Linked DNA regions of Drosophila melanogaster. The protein of the gene in region 1 interacts with the protein of each later gene in a pairwise test. Each region holds a gene or a part of one and is shown on either strand. Other genes may lie near its edges. The genes, in order: Pburs and c-cup.

Region 1 (7,663 bases):
ATTCGATATGGTATTGTCCAGATATGTCGAATGGCATTAGGCTAAACTATAGTTATAATAAACACAACATAAATTTCAATCAGAAAGCGAAGCGATCTTCTTGTTAGCTTCCACACGTATAATACCATAGGCAAACAAAGAGATTTTTGAAAAAAAAAAGCAACAGAAATACCTTTGAAGATAAAGCCAATCAATGATGTCACGCCTTCTTGTCTTTTGGCCATTAATGTGGGCTGATTGTGTTTGAGGGCTGAGAGCTAATACGGCAGTGTGTCTTGACACTAAAAGCATTTTTCCGTTCGACAAAATCTTTGTTGTTTACATTTCGCCTTGAGCTTTCATTAAAAACAAACAGAAATATATTTCACCGAATGACAAACAATCAAATTAATTGCGTTTTTATGCAAATGCGAATGGAGAAGAAATAAAGAATTCGAAATGATGAAAATTAATTGCCAATATTAACGCGTTTTAACACAAAAAGTATGTTAGATATTGTATAAGCGATAACCACCACCAGCAGCAGCAGCAACAATAACAATAAAGTAGCATTCAAGTAAATGTTTATATTTTTTTGTCCCCCCTTTTTTGTGATCTTCAAATTTGTTATTAATTAACATTCATTAATTATCATCAAAGTGACTCGGAAGAATATAGCAACTTGCCTGCCTTTCGTGGCCAGCGCTTAATTTATAACTTATAAATATGCAGCAATTTATTTAACACGATGCATGCGTTCGATTTGGCTCATAAATGTGGCCTGTGAGTGAAATTTATTGGTGTATTTAGCGATCGATTTTAATAATCTGCGCAAAGTCTTCCAAAAGTTTTAATTTCTTTTTAAGAGCCCTCTGAGTAAACCACACAGTACAGGAACCTGTTTTTATCTTGAAATTTTAATATCCCATTTTAGTTCAAAGTATCTTTCCCACTCGTTCTTAAGTTAATGACTCAAATCGATGCACACTTTCCAGGTGATCCGCGATTGAAGCTAAATGAGTTATTCAGCACCTGCAATGGACCAGTAATTGTGTTGTTGTGGAAACCCGTTCGCTTATAGACTGTTTAATTTGATTACCCTAATGAAATGTTAAAAGTTTTGAATGATCATCTGATCGCAGGTAGTTTTTCGCTCACCGGTTCTACGTGACTCCATCCGGGATGCAAGATTTGCCGAGAAATCTTGCTCGATGTATGTTATAAATATAAATATATAATTTATATTGTGTCGGCACGTTGCTGTTGATGGAGCCACTGACGCGCGATGCCACCCAGGAACCCCCCTCTTGATCCACCGTTCCCCCTTGGACAAATCTTGGATGGGTATATGGAGCTCAGCAGCTCTGGAAGATCACTGCGGTCCGATGTTAATGGGCGTGTCAACTAAATTATGAGTTTCGCACACACGAACGAAAGGCGGCAACTCAGTACCGACCGGTGGAGATCACATTCAGCTGGGTAGTAAGTATATGGGGAGCTGTGGAAAAATGCTTAAGTAAATTACAGTGCGTGCAAATGTGCTTGTGAACATGAAATTATAATGTAGCCCCGAACCGAGCGTGTTCCGTTCCAAGCCAAGCTCCAATTTACAATTAGTCGATGTTGCCCCATCTCTGGTGGCTTTAATCAATTCAGCTGGGTACTCGCATGTCTAAAATAAAATATAATAAAACAGGAGGAATAGGGAAAATAATGATGAAAATTAACAACCAGAAAGCGGTTTTCATCTTAAGTGCAGTTTATGCTTGATTATTATGTTTGCGAGACGAGTTTCCGGGTGGTTAGGCATCATGTGCCGCACAGATGCCAACATAAATATGGCAATTGCGAGTGCGCCGGACCCTCTGACTAAATGAGTTAATTTGGTAGCCAGGCTGGGCCAAAAAGTCAATATGCTCGTTGCCATTTCCCTGGCCATTGCAAATGCCTGTCAGAGGACGAGTGATGTATTCCATTTTGGTTGCAATCAATTTTTGGCCTCCAGTGATATGTCAAACATTTTCCGATTCAGGATTGCATTGCATATTTTTGGGAAAATCAAAGTTCATGCATTCATGGAGTATAGCAAGTGCCTCTCAGCGAAATGTGTACTGTATTTTCAATCAAACAGATGTTTGTTAGCCTTTGGCTTACTGCATATCAATGTAGCAAACAATAATGCATGAAACAACAGACACTTTAATCATGAGCAGCTATCAGTCTAATGTTGTTATTCAAACACACACGAAGATCCATTTTAAGCATAAGTTAAATAAGGGCGAAAAAGTGGAAAGTTCAATATAGAAACTAATTTTGTATTAATTTAATTTAATGGTTATATTAGAATAGACATTAAAGATATATGTATTTATTTAACTGAAAAAGCTGGGACTTTCACTTATTCCTTTATTAATTCGAAATATTTAAGAATATACATGATTTTAAGTAATGGTACTTTTAATGTGGGGCTCGTTTTGAAAATATATGAAACATATTTCACTCTGCAACTAAAACAAATGGATGCAAATAGCATAGTTTATGTTGAGGCATTAACGTGTGAAATCGCCACATTTGAAGCACTTGCACTCGGTGGGCTCCCGAAGACGTATATCCATGCTTCCCATTTCCGGAGAGGTCAAACGGGTGCCGTCCGGGTCATAGCAATGGGTTAGAGTGATGACCTTTTCCTTGAGGAAGCTTTCGCGGCAGCAGTAGCACTCCTGGAAAACATGGAACCTTAGAGTTCGCTAACTCTATAGAGGCAGGATTCAAACTTACTTTCAGAAACCCCGTGGGCGTTATCACCGATGGTTGCACCTGACTGTTGCACAATCCTTCGCATTTGTTGACGATGACGTCGGCATTGCAGGTCCTCTGCATCCGGCCCAGCTCGTCGAACTCCTCCTTGATCAAGTGGATCTCCGACTTGAGAGTCTCGCAGTTCTCGTCGCCAGTGCCTTGGCTATATCGCAATGCCCTCAGGCATTGGGGCACTAGGATCGCGGCCACAAAGAGCAGTTCCTGGACATGCATGCTGACCCACTCCCAACGCCCAACTGTTTGGAATCGCTTCACCCGGAGGCTCTTTTATACGGAAGAGGGCTGGACCTGATTGGATTCCATGATATATGTCAATGACTGGCTGATGGAATGTTTGTGTCCTGCCCAGCGGGTGAAAATTCGGTCGCTTAAGTTGCGGTAGGACATGGCAATTTACACATCACTTTTGTGCTCCGTTAATTGGTAATTAAATCAAACGACTTGACCACAAGTAACGATGTCGACTGTATCGATTCGATTTTTTACACGTTAAACCAAATCGATAAGTACGGAATAAAAATATAAAATGATTGCAGAAAATTTAATAACTTAATGCCAGATTGCGTTACACTTAGCTTATACTATTGGTTATATTACAATAATTTATTGGTGTGAGCAATAAAGAGGCAAATACTTTCAGCCTTAATCTATACAAGGGGCTTTCCCGCAATTTTCCGGCCACGTAAACAAAAAATGAAATTGCAATCTGTCTGAAGTTTTCCACCTCTCGTGTCTGTTATTGCCTGCTTTTGGCCCTGTTGGCCCTCCCCTGTTGGCATCGTCTTTGTCTCGCCCAATTTCGCAATAACCACATTCTCTCTCCCAGTATCTGTAGCTGTATCTGTATCTGAATCCCACTGTGGGCTCGACCGCCTTTCTCCACTTCACTCCTCTGTGGGCCATGGTCGATGGTTGCGCTTTAGAATCATCGACGCAAACGCAAAAAGTCTCAATGGCGCAGTAAATTATGTTTTATTATGCAATAAAGTCAACCATAAAAACGCTGCAATAAATTAAATTAACTACTAAAAATGCTGATTTTATTTTTACCCTCCGTTTGCGAAATTGTTGTTCAGTCAGTTCCGTCTCTCCATATATACATATGTATACACACACGAGTATTTGAATACATAAACAAGGATGCATGCTTGTGTATCTATCGTATGGCGCAAAGTTTTGTTCTGAATTTTTGGTTTACTGTCTGGATTTTTGCCTATTTTTCCTGTTTTTCTGTCTGCGAATAGTCTAAATGGTAGTTTGCTCGGAAAAACCGCTGCGCTCAATGCTGGAACTCAAAGTTTGACTCAGGATTTCAATTAAAATTATAAAAAAATAAAGACTTATTTACATTTCTAGACAATATTGCAATTGTGATTCTTAAAAAGAAAATACTTCTAATTATAAAAATTAATTCAAATTCCCTATTAAAAAGCTGAATAATGGATGATGGTGTACAAAAATTAGTTAGTATGTTCCGCCCAGCCTAAAAGATTGGTGCTGCCCCAATGCAGCTCAGATCAATGTTCAAATTAGTGCCATTCCCTAAGAAGTCCCGACATCAAAGGATAACCAAGGGTAAAAAATACATCCTGCAGGCTTCGTGTCCATGAATGAAATCCAAAGCGACACACGACCGGCAGCAGTAAAACAAAAGCGCAATGCTTTAAATGAATAAATATGACACATAAATACCATCCAACAATGGATAGCCCGTGTGTCTTTGTGCAAAAGGAAAAAACAACAAATTCAACAGATTCGAAAAGGCTAAAAAAAAAATAAATACAAAAAAATCGCAAAACATCGTAACAACAAAGCCAACCGACCAAGCGACAGGGACCGACAGTTAATTCCGCGAAAGAGGAAATTACAATTCATGCCCTTTGGCAGAACTCCATGATTATCAGATCGAATTAGTGTCTGCCTGGGCATCTCGTCCTCCCATCCTCCCATCCTCCTTTCCGATACACGGATACTCTTCGGTGTGCCTGACTGTTTGTCCTGGGGCCACATGAGCCCCACACATTTTTTTTTGCCGCATTCGGTGGCGTTTCGGCCCTCAACCGAACCATTTGAATGAACTTGGACCGGCTGCTCCTTTTGTTTCCCGTTAACAACAAATACAACAATTATGAGTGTGTGCCCCGTCTGGCCGAGTCCTGTGGAACCTGTCATGACCAGAAAGTTGCCCTTATTTTTTGGTTCACCGTGCGTTCATTTCGTTGTCCGCAGACAAGGAAAAACAAATATATGTGGTAAAAAATGCAGCATTTTGACTGATTTGCGGGTGTCGCCATTATATTCATATATTAAATAATAGAATTAGAACTTCAAAGTGCTATATGCTAAGCCTAATGCGGTTTTCAAATAGTTAAATACTTGGCAACATTTATATATGCGATGTCTGGATTTTTTCTAATAGTTTTTTAATTTCCCCCAATTGATTGGTTTGCCCTTGCCTAATTGATTTAGAATTAATACTTACTGTCCGTGTCTCGTAACGCCAGCTGTAGAAACATACTCGAAAAATGATTATGGGCAGACACATTAATTAAATTAAGCCGACTTTGGAGCCTTGGGGCTGCCTGTCTGATGACTAGAGACTGGGAGTGAATCGGTCTGAAGTGGCTCTTAGTTGGCCAAAATCGCTGTTGACTCATTATGGTAAAGACATGTGTTAATTTATGTAACTTTCCCAAACGGCCATTGCGACGTTCATTAATCATTTTTTTAGTTTCGAGATTTTCAAGTTGGCCCCATGTCTCGCCGTGTGCTGCCTACTCTTTTATGTTATTTTTAGTTAATTGTTTGCGCTGTAAAATGTTTATGCGTTTTTGGCCAGCAGCTCGGTTCGGCTGCCTTTGCCCTCTTTGACTAATGTGTGCCGCGTGTTCACATTTTTGTCTCAATGATTTATAGTTGTCCGCTGGACAAAGTCATTTTTGCTTTGGAAGCGGTTTTGTGTGCCTGCAAAACGTATCAATCATATTGGAAATTAATTTTGATAGCCACATAAAGCTAGTCATATAAAAAAAAGGTGGAAAGTGGGAAAAACAAAGCAGCTTAAGCAGAAATCTCAGTTATATTGTAGTAATTAGCTCCTAATGGATTCATTCATTTTCTATCGGAATTCAATCGAGGAAAATAACTTAAAACTGTTTTTCACTACCTGTACATAAACAATTTGGGAGTAGTACTTTACAAGTGCAGAAATAGTGAAGCGAAAGTAAGCAGCTCCAACGATTTGCCCGTTAGCCACCTCTACACTGCCCTGCATAATTATGGTGCGTATGAGGCCCGAACATTCAATCTGCCTGCCCCATCCAAAGCTTTAAAACAAAACCCCTAATCAGCATTAAGGTGCGCATAGCCTATTATTAACTTGATTACAATTCGGGATAAGCGAAGGCAGCCAAATCAGCTGGGCTATGTGTGGGTAACACCCCGGCGATCGGCGCAAAGGGAGGGCCTATATGGTGGGAAGTGAGGATCATTTTGCACGATTTACGAGATACGAGTTGCGAGTATATGTATGTATGTTCATATATAGTCGAGTCGAGTCGAGTACCCGGGGCTAGAGTGGCGGATAATGGTTACGGACAATGACGATGAGTGGATGGTGGCTTCTACTCTCTCGCCGTGGAATGGAATAAAGACTGCCCCACCGTCGAGCACATCCATCAATCGTGATGGATAACTGACAGTTTGGGGCGTTGCGGGTTCTCAATTTTCATGGTCAGGCTTCTCCGGTGAAATAAAGAAAAAATTCCATTTACCCGTCAACCCAATTTGTTGATCATTAATCATTGATATATGTAGTATATACGGTCAACCCGTTCGTCTATTCGTTTAGTTGCTGCGCTTATTTGGTTGCTTAAATGTAGCATTGACCCAATGGGGAATTGAATTGATTGCGCATGTGCATGTGCGATAATTGGCATAAATTAATATGGCCAACAAATTTAATTAGACATAAATCAATGAGTTTATTAAACAGTAGCCAGCGCAGACTGCAGGCAGCAAGCAAACCGGCAGCCAATCATGCCAAACCGTTTTCCACCAATAAACTGCCGCAAATTGGCTAATACCGAATGGCGTTATATGTCGAACCCAGAGTTATGCCCGTTTCCCTCTGTCTATCTAGCCAACGCCCACCAGTCTCGGCGCGCACATTAAAAATCAGTTAAATTCAGAAACACTCTACCCACTGACCCCCGCGCCAACACAAAAATGTCCATAAACAATTTTCATGGCAAAAAGTCCGACCACGACTCAGTGGAATCGAGGGACCTCTCACTGTGCCGGCTGTCGAGAGACGCAGCTGGATTCGAACTGGTTATATGAACGGACTGGACTCGACTTCTGTGTGCGGTTGGATGTGCCACCAAAAGCCATTTGGCACATACATTTCAAACATTTATGGTTATTATAAAGCATTTAACATTATTATGGATGCCATGGGGCATCTGTTACAATCCGACGGCCAACAAACACCGGCAGCAGCAGCCCATATAGCCGGCTTAAATAATCACTCTGCGGTGTAATTAGCAAAATATTTATTGATATTTCGCAAAGCGTGTGCAAAAATAGGCAATGCAATTGGCCAAATGCTGCAGCTTTCGGTGGAAATCTACATTGCAATTGGGAAAATCAGTTTTTTGGATTTTACATGACATTTTATTAACTATTCAGATATATTAATATTTAAAAATCCTGAATATTTATTGAAACTCTTTTCTATTATGTTATTATAGTTTTCTTCTAACAGAAAATATTTTTGAAAATACTACAGTTAAATGCATCACACAAATGAATTTAAAATGTATTTATTTCGAGACGGACTACTCATGTTAGCACTTTATAAAAC
Region 2 (7,863 bases), about 13 Mb from region 1:
CTTGCACATCTGCCGGTAAATATTATTCAATGTAGTTCTTGAAAGCAAAATCACGTACAAACTCCGGCTAAAATCCCTTGTCCGTCGATCCGATCCGTTGAGTTCGCTTTTCGGTGTTAGTTTTAATTTCAAATTATTTGTTTGGGTTCACCGCTTTTACTACGGCCTTGGCTCGTGGCTCTCTGTTTGCACTTTTCCGTTTTGTGTTTATTTTTTTTGTTAATTTCACTTTGTCGCTTTGTGTTTGTTTTTCATGAATTTTACTTTGTTTGTACTGTAAAGAATTTTGTGGCTAACTTCAATAGAATGTTATCTTTGGGGGCACAACTGCCACAGCTGCTCTTTTATTTGGCCAGCAGTTCCGCAAAGTTTTTCTAGGCCAGCAAAGGCTATTACTGAAATACTATGTTCGGCTGTGTTTTCCCTGATAAGCGAAAAAAAAAACTCTGGATTCAATTTATTTTTTTAAGTCAAATTTAGTAATGCACAAGGGAAATAAGTTGCTTCGAAAGGACAGATTTCAAAATATTTAAAAAAATATAAATTGCAAGCATTTTCAGATTTCAATGGAATAAATAAACCTTCAAAAGCTCCTAAACTATTGCAGTTGCATTCTCAAAGATGCTGTATATGCTGTGTGGCTACAGTTATTTGTACAATTCTTTTTAATAAATGTTTTACCAACTACATTTATTCTAAGCACTGTTTTGCTCCGAATCTCGCAAGCACTTGGCCAATTCGCTCTAAGCCCACAAGCGACATGAGCTCTTGAGCGAAATCCTGACGATTGGATGAGACCGCTGTGAACTCACTTTGGTTTGCAAACAATGTAAACACACTTCGACCGGGGAACTTTTGAGGTTCTGCGCGATACTCCGACTCCAAATCGCGACCAACCGTAACGCTTCAAAGTTACTCCGCTACTGGTCGCCAGGATGCTGGCCATGTTCAGATAAACGTCCTGGAGCTTTGCCATAAAATCCGTGAGATTCGAGAGTGGCTTGCTCTCCGCAGGACTCGATGCTCTCTACATGCGCACTCAGCATCCGAGAGGAATGTTTTGGGTTTTATTTGCAGGGAAGTTTCGGCGCCGTGAGGCGAAGTCTGTCGGAAATTACCCAAAACATTGGATGCGCCAACAGCTGGGCAACAGCTGATGACTTGAGGATGGTAAGGAGCCAAGGCAAAGCTTTCATAACTTGTGGAGCGTTCATCTCTATACATATGTGTTATCTGTATTTATTTTCCTTTTCGCCGGCTTCTGCGTCTGTTTGATGTTGCGGTTGCTTTGGTTTCCCCTTTATTATCATCATTATCGTCATCAGAGTGACGCACTCTTGGCTGCGAAATGCTTTTCATTATGCGCACTAATGTCTATGGCCTTTATGTCTAATGCGTGCATAAGGACCCACTCTTAAATCCCGACTTGGCCCTGTTTGCACTGCGGCATATGTACTTATATATACAGGGGCATGTCGGGGCACACATTATGCGGATTGGGCCGGTTTATTTGTATTTTTCTTGGCTGTGGATTATTTTTATCATCGCTTGTGCATGTAATTTATTATAATGATTTACACATTAAGTATCATTAAGCCGAGTGCTCGGCTGTTGTGTAAGGGCGTATAAATTGCAACTAATTGTTCACAACGCGGCGTATGCGTGATATATACGCAAAACTTAAATGAGGAGAGCGCAAATATTTACACGCACCCACACACCCGCACTCAGCACAGTTATTAATAATCCTGGCAGCGTTTGGGGAACTTAAGGCAAATTCTCATCGGCACCTTAATGAGCAACTTTTCCAGCGCCAGTGCCTGGGTGGTAGCGGGTGGAAAATGATTGCGGAAAAGCACCCAGCCCGCACGCAAAACTTTCGTACTCATCAATTCGAAACTAAGAGGAGAATTTCGCAGGCGTGCATGATATTTATGCCTTGGATTTTGGGTATTCCCCCTACTTTCCCTGGGAGGTTCATTAATTTTTCGCCAGCTCTTCGTTTGCAATTATACAAGAAAACTTTTCGCAGCCAGTTCGACAGCCAAGCCAACGGATTGACAGTGAGATATTGATTTAATGCATTGCCAGAACTCGTCGGATTTCTGTGTGCTTTTGATTTATTTGTTAGCCGCCTGGGTGAGCGGTAAAATCTGCCAAAAGTTTTGGCATAAAGTGTCAGTCTAAAAGGTAGAAAAACACTAGTAGAGCACTGAATTTTGCTTTCCCTTATGAGTACTAAAAAGTGCAGAGATTGCTTAAAAATGTTCATGTCATTTGATTATAATCCTGTAGCGCATTTTTGCCTGTGTAACCGCTTATAGTTCCACTTAAAACCATCTAAATGACAGTTGTTCCCCAGGCAACTTTGTCTGCTAAATGCTGGCATACATCCGATATTTCGCTATCAGCCACCGAACACACAGCCACACGAAAAGCATTAAAAATATGCCAGGCATAAAAAGTGTTCTACCATTCTGTAAATTTAGCACACAAAGTGGGAAAACTTTCGATTTTTGTGTGGGCCATGGTTGGGAGGTTATGAAAGATTGGCACCTCGTTTTATTGCCCTAGTTTTCCCAGCCCTTTTTATCTATATTTTACTATTTTTCTGCTTTTTTTTTTGTGGCTGGCGCCTCCTGCACCTTGACACTTTTGCAATTGTCGCATGGGAATATTTTTTCATTCGTTGTTATTCTTGCTCAATTTGTTTTTGTGTGCCCCCATTGTTTGGGCCCAGTTTTGTTGATTTTTATTCTCGTTATTCCCCTATTTTTCTGTACTTTTTCTATGCTTTTTCTGTACTTGTTCTGCACTTTTTATTTATGGTTAGTGCAGCAAAATATTTCAGCATCAGGCGTATAACCAAAGTGCCGAGTGTGAGGGCGGCATCGGGCCAAAAACTATGTGGGTGATTTTTATGGCTTTGCCTTGCCTCTCAGTTCAATGAATAAATCATTGGACGCCAAGGGGATTGGTTGGGACTTTGCAATATGGAGTGGGACTCTCTGGTAATGTTTGATAATATTTTATGGAAATATTTGTACTCGTTTTGGCTTTGAATAAATGTGTTGAGAGTCGTACATTTTAAAGAAGTTTGGTAATAATTGAATGTTTCAATACGACCGGAGCCAAATGAACAATTGTAAATGATTCAAGGAAACCCCTATTTAAGTTGTTTATGTCTGAACCCTTTATCGTTTCCCTCTTTTTCAAAGTCTATCCCATTAGCAGAAAATCCCAGAACCTTCGCAGGCCTGCAGCAAAGTAAACTAAGCAAATCTGCTGGCATTCTAATCCTTTTGAAATTTGCTTTAATTAACTCGAATAATAAGCAGCATCCGCATACTTTGTACTGCTCCTTCTGCCGGAGCCTTTTTATCCTGTTCGTGGGCTTATGAGCTTTGGCACTTTGTGGTTGAAATTTTGTGATTCCTTTTTTTTTTCTGGCATTCGGATTTCCGACATTTGCCAAAGCAAATTTCAGCGGAGCGGGACTAATAAGCCAAACAAGAGACAGTGGAAAGGGGGCGGGAGGAAAAGGGGCGCGGCTGGCAGACAAAGTTAATACGACACAGCTGCCCTCGCGGTTGGTGGGCAATTGAAAAGTTTATTAATAACCCGCAGAACGGCAGTGGCAGCCATACGAACTTTAAAGAGACTGCTGCTCTTTTTTATTTGTATGATTTTTATTTTTAATTAAAAGAAGGCAAGGCTGAGCGGTAGCGAGTGCGGTCCAAGGGATATGTAATTACATTTGAACAGCATGCGAAATATGTTTTAATTTATTAAATTAAAATAAGCGAAAAAGAGCTGGAATGAAGGAAAAATAACAAAAACACGACAACAGGCAAAGGAAGCAACCAGCCGCAAACCGAGTGCCCAAAGCAATTTGAACCAACGTCACACGCGGCGTATGCGTAATGTGCTCGCAACAAAATCAACGTTATGCAAATTTTAATGCGAGCATAAGGCGGAAACGAAACGGCGCTACGCTTGCCAGTTTCTCCTGAATCCTGTTACGAGAATCGCCAGGGTATTGCCAGGGCATGATGGTGCCACATATAGTAAGTCATTCAAGCTGACCACATGACAACACTTGGAAATGTCACTATAAGCATAATAAATAAATACTTAAAATATTGCCAACATTTCAGTGCACAGCGTAATTTATAAAGCAATAATGCCATATTTTATATAAACTACTATTGTGGGAGCTCAATTACCGTAAGAGCCACAACAAACCAATTTCAGCTTTCCGAGCAATTGAACAATCCGAGGGTATCGTTTAAATCCGACCCAAATCAGCGCAGGACTCCTTCGTCCTGGCAGTCGCCCTGCAGTTGTACTTGTATTTACATAAGCGTCCGTATGTATTTCTCCCAGAGCACTCGCCTGGCGCAAAATTACACTTTGTTGGCGAGACACACACACTCACATGCTCATACGCACACATCGTGGCGCAAAAAATTGTAATGAGCTTATTAAGTCATATTAAAGTCCAAGTACAGCCAATTTGATAAAAACAGCAACTGACAGCAGACTGGCAATGTTTTCATGCGACATTTTTTTACGATAGCATTTGGCATTAATGGTAATAGCAAATGGCGTAGACACACGCTGTAGCTATGTACGTTACACTCGAAGAAAATCAATATTTTAATGAGTAAGCAACCAAAAGGGTTGATGCACGTATAAATAGATGTTGAAGAAATATATAAATAATAACTTAATAACTTTGTCTTGCTAGAAATGAATAGTACTGAATTTCTTTAAGTGCATGTAATTTATATGACTGATGTAAATGAGCTCGGCAGCAGGTGGCTTAACATTTTTATTCGCTCCGCACTGCGGTAAATTGTTGTTAACTCGGCTTAATTGAGTATGATCAAATTGCCGCTGATTTTGCACTCGAATATATTTCGACTGAACTTTCAAAATTCATGAAATGCTGAGCACGAAAACAACTTAAACAGAGTCAATTATATAGTTTATGGAAAAGTCGTAAAAATGCCGATACTTGGACAAATGTTTCCTGCAAGTAAGTAATGTTATTAAGTAGTAGATAATTACGTAACGCACTCACTTCATCCTCTAGAGCTGGGTCCCAATTTGATGACAGCCTCCAAAGTGCTAAAAAGTCCTCTTGGCCAGGCGTTAGTCTCCTTTTTGGTTGGCTACTTTGTCACCACAAAGTTGTCGCAATTTTATGGCAAATTCAAGAGGGACTCTGAGAAATCCGATGAGTCGACGCAGTACTTGGACATGTACCCCAGGAAAGAGAGTCAGCCAAAGGACACCAAAGGACACGATATCGTTCTGCTCACTCTGGAGGAGCTAACTGCCTTCGATGGCTCGAGTCCCAGTCTACCCATTTACACCGCTCTGAATGGCCTCATATACGATCTGAGTCCGGGCCGAGAAAAGTTCAGCAGTCACGGTCCGTACTCCCTATTGGCCGGTTGCAATGCCAACAAGGTCCTGAACATTGCCTGCAGTTCCATGGGCGTCTGCGCTGCGAACGTAATAAGTCGCTGGGAGCAGAGCCTAAGAGCCGAATTTAAAGTCGTAGGATATTTAGTCGATGCTGATATAGATATTATTAGCGGTAGTCCAGTCAAACATACAAATTCGGCCATAGGGGAGCAAATGGAGAAGAGTGATATCGTTTAAGATGCTGTGAATATCCCGTTTTCTTAGCTTGGCAATAAAATATTATTCACAGAAACTAGTAATTTACTTCCAAGCTAACTGAAGGGGATATTCAGTGCAACCACGGACTAAAAATGCGTTTGGAAAAATTACATGTAACTTGTAGAATAAACAAAATTATTGAAGATATCTTTTAGCTTCATGAGCGAATATTTTCCAAAGGTTTTAGGTTGCCAAACAAATGATCGACTATTTCTTTTACAATCTCCTCCAGCCTGAGATTAAATTAATTCTGTCCTTCTTTTTTTTTGCCGTTTGACCGAGCTCTTGGCATTTGGAAAGCCGGAAAGTTTTTCCGCCTTTGTCTTGCGCTTTTTTCCCCAGCGGTTCGGTTCGACAGGAAAATATCGACAACGGCAAATGTCGATAACAACAAATTGTTTGTCGTGTTTTCCTTTTTACTTGGCACTTTTTGCCCATCAAGCTGTTGACTTTGTCAAGTTGTCGCCGAATTTTCAGGGCTTCGGGGTGATTCGGGTTTCCCATTGTGCCGGTGTATGTGTGTGGAAAAACTTTGCGCCAAACACGCAATTGACTTAAATTGAATTGAAAGCTGAATTCTGAGAGCTGAGAGCTGAAAGCCAAGAAGTGACAAAGCGGGCGGGAAAGCAGAAGGAATGCCGTCAGGTGCTACACAGCTAATAAAATCAAAATTACTTTTCGCCAGCGCAAAGTTTCGTCAGTCGACGTGCTTAAGGAATTTAAAAAAGTTGTCCAAAAATTGTTAAGCACACACTTCAAAATCAGTCAAATGTGCAAAAGGACAACACACACTCAAGAACAACATTTGGCAAAGTGTTATTTGAAGTGTCGAATTTAATCAAGCGCAAAGGTGACAAAAGGGCTCAAAAGTTAACAACAACTAGGGCCAACAATAACAAGTGGAAATGGTTCTTAAAAGGTGGCGAAATGGACGAGAGCAGTCCCCTGCAAAGATGGAAGGACAATGTCCTGGAGTGGCCCATTTGCATAAATTGTTCGCACTTGTTTCAGCTTTTTATTAGTGAAGCTTTATTTATACTTAGTGAAATCCGATTGCGATTGGGTAAGTAGTACTACAATAAAAAAAATCCATTATGCTAGTCCGACCAATTAAAGTTTTAAAATGCTGCTTTAATGGATCTTCCCCATTGGTGATAACAATAATACGGATTAAGGTAATCATTCATTCGCTTTTTAAATGACCCTTTTGAAATGAATTAACTGAATGGATTCTTTGTCATGTTGGCAATTCATTATATGTAGCTCCTTAAAATAAATTTCCCGTTAGCCACGCCCCGAAACTTGGCCAGTTATGGTATCCCATATAATTGGTGCCAAACACTGAATTTATCACCATCTGGTTGTCATGTGCAAACGATGCTCTAACCCCCACTTTGCCGGGAATTTGGATGGGGAGACCTCCCTCCAGTGTCATTCGTTCATTTTAATGTTTTACGTGACCCATTCGAAATCGAATCGAATAACTCATTAAATGCAGAACGCGCCAAAACAGGTGGTAGGGCTAAAATCGGGGGGAAAGGTGGCCATAAGAGATGTGTTCTAGGTGTAAGGCAATTAACCATAAGAGCTTATGTCGTGGAACGTGCCTAATTGCTGGATGAAAACACTAGACGAATCTGGATTTCGGTGTTTGCGCAGGGAAATGCAAATGGCTGTGTGAGTGCGGCAAACAATTAGTTTTCCAATTTCGAAACTAAAATGTTGGCAAACAACACAAATTAAATTCACTCAGTTGCATTCCGACTTTTCGAAGTCTGGCCAAAAGTTTACTTTGCTCTTTGCCATTCGCTGCTTGCAGGAGTTAATTTAATTAGTTTTCATTTATCTAAAGTACACGCTTCATTACATAATTTAACAATTCATTAGATTGAGCCCGGCTTCGTGGTAATTGAAAAGCGCGTCACGCTCTAGCCCCCAGATTTTCCAACGCCTCGATTCGCCACGCCCCCTCCGCAAGGCATGCACATCAGAGACCGCCCCTCATTTCGCAGTCTGGTTTTTATGTTCACTTTGTTATTATTGCCGCCAGACAATTGCTAATGGTCGCTGTAATTATCATTAAATGGTTCGCTTTCTTTTAATTCTTCACCCATTTCTGCTTCCACCTACCAATCTCGGCACTTTTATCCTTTTTCCCGGGAAGTGGGA

The links.
Region 2: the proteins of Pburs (region 1) and c-cup interact in a two-hybrid assay, tested with the Drosophila melanogaster proteins (one large-scale study listed by BioGRID).

Annotation. Positions count from the first base shown.
Region 1 is NT_033779.5:14,414,307-14,421,969, forward strand, and holds Pburs (partner of bursicon), read right to left. Parts: upstream 3,026-7,663; 5' UTR 3,013-3,025; coding exon 2,758-3,012; intron 2,700-2,757; coding exon 2,529-2,699; 3' UTR 2,423-2,528; downstream 1-2,422.
Region 2 is NT_033779.5:1,829,602-1,837,464, reverse strand, and holds c-cup (calcutta cup), read left to right. Parts: upstream 1-4,899; 5' UTR 4,900-5,010; coding exon 5,011-5,041; intron 5,042-5,098; coding exon 5,099-5,673; 3' UTR 5,674-5,838; downstream 5,839-7,863.